Linked DNA regions of Sus scrofa. The protein of the gene in region 2 interacts with the protein of the main gene of each other region in a pairwise test. Links are inferred from orthologs where the notes say so. Each region holds a gene or a part of one and is shown on either strand. Other genes may lie near its edges. The genes, in order: MYCBP and MYCBPAP.

Region 1 (2,908 bases), on a different chromosome or scaffold from region 2:
TGTGGACAATTTAAAGTAATGCATGCATAATCTTTGCTGAGTTGTGGTTCCCTGCAAAAACTAAGATTTGAGTTATTCCAATTAGCTGTGGGATTCGAGAAGTTAGACTTCACTGCGCTTTAGTTTCCTCACCTATAAAACAGTCTGTGTGCCTGTTTCACTTATCTCACAAACTTGTTGAGAAGATCAGACACATTATGAGAAATGCCTGGAGTCAGGTGAAATGCATTATGTGATTCAGAATGCAGTAAAACCTCAAAGACTTTAAGTTGACTCATTTGAAGTTTATGAAAATTCTCACAGGAGTTTAAACAAAGAAAAAACTTCAGCACTAGGCAAAGAGTGCAAACCAGTTTACAGAGACTTAAGGGCAGACAAGTTTACAGAGTTACCATTACAGGGCCACCACATATGACTGTGCACTACATGCACTGCCCAGTCTAAGGTGACATTCACAAAGCAGGGGCCTTGTACTGTCCTACTCAAACCAGCTGCCTAAGACTCTGAGAAATCTCTGTTTACCTATAAACCAATATTCTCATCTTTTGGTTGAAGGTTCCCAAGAACCTTTTCTTGACCACACTTTGCTCATCCTATTTACACTTTGCCTGTGGTTTTCTCGACAGGGCGTCAACTTGGCCTTGCAACTAACTGAGATTGATATTCACCCTCCTCCCTCCCCTACTGTCCATTTTAGTGAGGTTGCGATCATATGATCACTAAAGGTGAACTTATTTTTAACATGAATTCTTTCAAAAATGTTACCTTTGTTTTCAGTTTTTTATTTTCTTCTACAATAGCTTCATATTTCTCTTTCATTTCTGCCAATTCTAGGCGAAGCAGCTCTATTTCTGGGTTTTCTGGGGTAGCAGCTCCTAAGTGATGCTTTAAAAAACTAATATCAAGTTAAGAATTTACTTGAGCTGAATGAAACTAGTGAAATAGCCCTCTGAAATAACTCTCTGATGAGAGTCACCCCACCCTGCCACCAATATTTACCCAGAGATCAAAATCCAAATACTCAAATTTTTTCAAAAATTGAAAGTATTTTAAAAGTTATTATCTATGTTTAAAAATCAGAGTTCAAAAAAAATGAAGGCCTTTTTCTGACTTGGAAGGTGAAAAGGATACTCCAAAGCACTATTAGGTTTCTCAGGTTCTTCATATAAGGCTACCAATACTGCAAATCAAAAAGCAGAAAAAACAACAATTAAAGTCTTTAAATGTTTGAAATTATATTCCATAACCCAGTAAATATGAAGTGCCTATTATACACCATGCACACTGCCAGGACTGTCCATACCATGGTGAACAAGACAGACAAGGTCCTTGCTCTCAGTGAATTTAAAGTCTTGTGCAAGAGATAAGCAAGGAACTAGACCAAAAAAAAGTTATCAAGCAGCAATATAGGATAATGGGTTATGGGAGCACATTGGAAGAATGCCTACCTCGGCCTAAGGCAGCAGGGAAGCCTTCCCCAAGGAAGGGAAATAAGACCTGAAACCTAGGCAATGAAGGTTTCAGATAAAAAGGGAAGGCCAGGGGCAAAAGCACAACATATTAAGGAACTGAAAATTCAAGTATGGCTAGATGGTGTTGTGAACAGGGGGCGGAGCAGGAAAGGAAGCTGGAAAACTGAGGTGTGGGGGAGACTACAGGATCCTGCAAGTTCAGTCAGCCCTTGAACCTAAGGACAAAATGGCAGGTAATTAACAGTTTTAAGCAGCGGAATGACAGGATCACTCTTGACTCCTGTGTGGAAGACTGACAGGTGGGACAAGGATCTAAAGGCAGGAAAGCAGAGTTCCTGTTGTGGCTCATCAGGTTACGAACCCAACTGATATGATATCCCTGAGGATTCAGGTTCAATCTGTGGCCTCGCTCAGTGGGTTAAGGACCCAGCATTGCTGTGAGCTGTAGTGCAGGCTGGCAGCCTTGGATCTGATTCCACCCCTAGCTGGGAACTTCCTTATGCCCCAGGTTTGGCCCTAAAAAGCAAAAACAGAAACAAAAAATAAATAAATGAAAGCAGGAACGCAATTGGAGTTCCCATTGTGGCACAGTGGAAACAAATCCGACTAGGAACCATGAGGTTGCAGGTTCGACCCGTGGCCTTGCTCAGTGGGTTAAGGATCTGGTGTTGCGATGAGCTGTGATGGAGGTCAAAGACAGGGCTTGGATCTGGCGTGGCTGTGGCGTAGGCTGGCAGCTGTAGCTCTAATTAGACCCCTAGCCTGGGAACCTCCATATGCTGCAGGTGCAGCCCTAAAAAAAAAAGCAAAAAAAAAATTTTTTTTTTTAATTAAAAGTTAGTGATCTGCACTAAAGTGATAGAGGGATGAAAACAAGGTAGGTACAGTAGAGAAAAATTCTGGAAGGCTATGGTTAATTACTGGAAGGAGGAAGCTTTGACTTCAAAAATGTTCTTCAATAATGAAGTTTCACACATAACATGCTAAATAACCACCAACCAAAAACTTTACCAGTAATCAGTGTGCTCAAATCAATATTAAATACTTTAGTGGTTTCATATCCAGTAGTTCACGTCAGCACTACCTTTTTCATCTTAAACAAATTCCTATTACACTATTTAGATGCACTATTTAGATAAAAATCTCTCTAAACCATTGCTCATTTTTTTGTGCATGGACCTCTTTGAAAAACCCGAAAAAGACAAAAACTACACACAAAAAAATATGCATATCTAGACACCAAATTAAGAACTACTATGGTAGACCAATTTACATGCTTCCCTTTTATTTAAGTTTTAATGATTCAGTAAAATAATACAGACAGTATAAAAAATTAAATGGAAAACTACTACTAACAACTTACATTAAGTTCTGATAGTTGCTCTTCTAAACGTACTTAGAGCGGTATTTTTGAGTAATTGGTGTATTCACACTAT
Region 2 (3,920 bases):
GGGCTATTTAACAAGTCAAATTTCCTCTTATTAAAAATAAATATGCAGTGAAAGGATCTTTCCTTGATTTGTTTACAGCAGAAAGTTCAAATCTGATAAGATCCTCGGAAACTAGGTAAACAGCAGGCAGTAGCTAGGAAAGCCCTTGACTGCCCTTGGGAAAGCAGACCAGCTATTTTTCCCTCTTTCTCTCCTAACTGTTAAAAGTATATCATGAGGAGTTCCCGTCGTGGCTCAGTGGTTAACAAATCCAACCAGGAATCATGAGGTTGCGGGTTCTATCCCTGACCTTGCTCAGTGGGTTAACAATTCAGCGTTGCCGTGAGCTGTGGTGTAGGTTGCAGATGTGGCTCGGATCCTGCGTTGCTGTGGCTCTGGCGTAGGCTGGCGGCTACAGCTCTGATTGGACCCCTAGCCTGGGAACCTCCATATGCTGCGGGAGCGGCCCAAGAAATAGCAAAAAGACAAAAAAAAAAAAAAAAAAAGGAGCATCTTGTTGTAGTCTACATTGGACCTTCATGCTGTGAAGCAGCATTAAAGAAAGCCCTTCCAGGCCTCCCAGGGAACCCTACTAACTCCAGGCCTGCCCCTTCCTCACACTCAGCTCACACCATCATCTGAGGCTGGGTCTCCCCAGGGGCTGCAATGACACACCGACTTTCTGACCTGGCATGTAAAGCACTTCTGTGGTCTGGTCCCTACCTGTGCAGTCCTCTCTGGCTTCCTTCCCCCCTTTTCCACACTCACCACCTCTGCCTTGGCCATTAATGTCAAAGTTCCACTCCCTAGCTTCTTCCTAGACCTAGAGAAGCATATCGCTTTTCTTTTGTTTTTTGTTTTTTGATTAGACCTAGATGTCATCTTCTTCAGAAAAATGTTCCCCCTAATCTACCATTCAAAGCCTAAGTCAGGTGCTCTGAGCCCCCTTGATACCGACAGGTGTCTGTATCACCATCTTTTGACTGGTTTCTCCTACAGGAGTTCACAAAACTCCATTTCCTGAGTTCTGGGGTCCCACAGTTACCACCCATGGCCTTGTTGCCCAGCACAGTGCCCGCACACAGCAGGCCCTCAATAAATGCAAACAAAAGAAGACTGAAGAGGAAGTGGATTGCACATGGGCACAAGTTCATGGGGTCAGCCTGCTGACCAGGCACCCTGGGGTTCTCCCTGTCACAACCAGAGGGTAATTGCAGAGGACAGGAAGCAGGGATCATGTCCATTGATTGTCTCCAGGTTAAACAAGCAGGACAGGGGTTACGCAATCTGGCCGGAAAGGGCACAGGGTGGGAAGAGGTAATCAGAAAACTGGCCAAGTCAGGCATTTCTCCCGGTTTTTCCAGTAGGACTCTAAGGTGGCACTCAGCAAAGAATCCCACTAAGGTCGTTGGTTTCACCACCTCAACATGTTTCCTGCATCTTTTCTGAATTTCTTTTCCCAAGACCCCATGGCCTGGCCTTTCTAGTCTTAAACTCTTTTCTGGATCTTTCCTTTCTTTTCTTTTGTTTTCTTTTTTGGCCGCCCTACTGGCATATGGAGTTCCCAGGCCAGGGATCAGATCTCAGCTCTAATTGTGACCTATGCCACAGCTGCGGCAATGTCAGATCCTCTAACCCACTGTGCCAGGCCAGGGATCCAACCTGCATCCTGGTGCTGCAGAGACACAGCAATCCCACTGTGCCACAGGTGGAACTCCTTTCTTGGCTCTTTCACTCAGGTGAAGGATTCTGCCTTCTGTATCCCACCCTAAGATATTGTTCAAGGTCTCATAGGCCTGCCTTTCCAAGGTCATCTCCCCAAAAGCTGATCCCTGAGTCCCCTCCTTTCTATGTCCCCACTCTCAAGGCCCCAGTGCCCTGCGGCCCCAGCCTGCCCTGCGAGTCCCCTCCTTGTACATCATCCCCAAGGCCCAGTGTACTGTGCCCCACCAGGGGTCACCGCCTTGTCTAAGGCATGGGGTTCGCCTTGTCCTGTACCCCATTCCCGTGTGATCTTTACCTCCAGGCTGCTATCACCCCCATCCTCCGGGCCCTGTGTTGTGACGCCCCAGAACCCCTGCCCCTGTCGGGCTTTCCTGAGCTCCCAAGGCAGCCAGGGCCAACCTTTCAAGCTACCTGAAGACTCCACGAATCTGTTTGTAGGTATTCTGTGGCGGGATTCCTTCTTTAGAGATTTCATGGTGCGGCCCGGGCGGCGAGCGTGGCCCTGTGGACCCGGACCCAGGACCCGGAAAAAGGAGGCGGCGCCGCAGCCCCCGCGACCCTGCGCGAGCGCACCCGCCCGCCAGCGGCCGCCCGAGCGTCCATAGCAACCAGCGCCGCGCGCGGGGGAGCGCACCCACCGAACAACTTGGGCGGAGACTGCTTGGGAACCACCTTTTTCATCAGGCCGCAACCACGCGCCCGCCACGGGCCACTTCTTCGACCCTAACAATGCCCCCAATCCGGACCGTGACGTCACAGGCGGCGCCGGCGAGCGCCGTGACGTCACTAGCCCGGTGGTCGGGGCGGGGGGGAGGGGAGGCGAGGGAGGGGAGGCGGGGTCGGGAGGCGAGACCGGGAAGGAAAGCGGAGGAGGAGGGCCCTTTCCTGCTGCTCCTTCTGCCCGCTATCCCTTCGTCCCGTCTGCACAGCCACCGCGGCATCCATCATTTCACACCGTGCAGAAAACCCCTGATGCCTTCTCGCTGATTTCAGTTGCCCCGTGGTCCCTGCCTGTCCCCTGCAAGCGCTGGGTGTCCTTCCCGGCTCGCTGCAGCCACTTTGGGCTTGCATCACTTCCCAGACCAGCCAAGCTTGGGGAACTTGGGGCCACCTCACACTGTCGGTTGCAGTCCTTGAGCTCCCCGCCCCGCAATTTAAAGTAGCTCTCTGTATATACCAAGTAGCTCAACTTGGTATGTGCCCCCTTATATTTTTTTCCGGAGTCTTAATGCATTCAACAATTACTGTTTGTTTAACTGGTTGGCTGCTGTAAAGCTCTCTGTAAGAATATAAAATTCATGAGAGAAAGGCTGGCTTGTCCTTTGTCCACACCTCAACTCAAAGTGTAACACGTAGTGGCTCAGAAACTGTGTGGAATAATGAAGGGGCTATAGAGCAGGACAGAACTGGGTTCCAATCTCAGCCCTTCCTGTTTCCTAGCTGTGTGTTCTTGGGCTAGTCCCTTAACCTCTCTGAGCCACAGTTTTCCCACTTATAAAATGGAGGATGCAATGGTCACTGTACAGATTAATTGAGAGTATGCACGATGGCCACTGTACAGACTGAGAGAAAGGGCCTATGTAAGGATTAACTGAGTATACATTTAAACTACTCAACACAGTACCCTCCATAAACTGTAGTGACATCTCAGTCAATTCTCAAAATCATGCTGGGGTTGAGGAGCTCCACTCTGTGCCCATTTGACAGATGGAAAAACTGAGCTCCACCAAGGAAAAGTCACCTGTCAGGGAGTTCCCGATGTGGCACTGTGGGTTAAAGATCTGATGTTGCTGCAGCCATGGTGTAGTTTGCAGCTTCAGCTCAGACTCGATCCCTGGCCTGGGAACTTCCATATGCTGTAGGTGCTGCCAAAAAAGAAAAAATAAAATAAAATAAAAATAAGGTCACTAGCTAGAAGCAAAGTTTGAAGGTGGTTCTCCCAAGTCAAAGACCAGGGCTCTTTAGGCCCTGACTCTTGGGATATTTTTTGTCTTGTTTTGTTTTACTTTTTAGGGCTGCACTCACAGCATAAGGAAGTCCCCAGTCTAGGGGTCAAATCAGAGCTGCAGCTGCCAGCCTACGCCACAGCCACAGCAACACAGGATCTGAGCCGAGTCTGCCACCAACACCACAGCTCATGGCAATGCCAGATCCTTAACTCACTGAGCGAGGCCCAGGATCAAACCCACAACCTCGTGGATACTAGTTGGATTCGT

Evidence for each region.
Region 1: the proteins of MYCBPAP (region 2) and MYCBP interact in binary tests that used the Homo sapiens proteins (3 or more experiments, as listed by UniProt). The link is inferred for Sus scrofa from reciprocal best matches to the Homo sapiens genes MYCBPAP and MYCBP.

Annotation. Positions count from the first base shown.
Region 1 is NC_010448.4:94,808,656-94,811,563, forward strand, and holds part of MYCBP (C-Myc-binding protein), read right to left. Parts: intron 1,181-2,908; coding exon 1,132-1,180; intron 896-1,131; coding exon 766-895; intron 1-765. UniProt on the Homo sapiens protein: May control the transcriptional activity of MYC. Stimulates the activation of E box-dependent transcription by MYC.
Region 2 is NC_010454.4:26,790,253-26,794,172, reverse strand, and holds the start of MYCBPAP (MYCBP-associated protein), read right to left. Parts: upstream 2,464-3,920; 5' UTR 2,386-2,463; coding exon 2,343-2,385; intron 1-2,342. UniProt on the Homo sapiens protein: May play a role in spermatogenesis. May be involved in synaptic processes.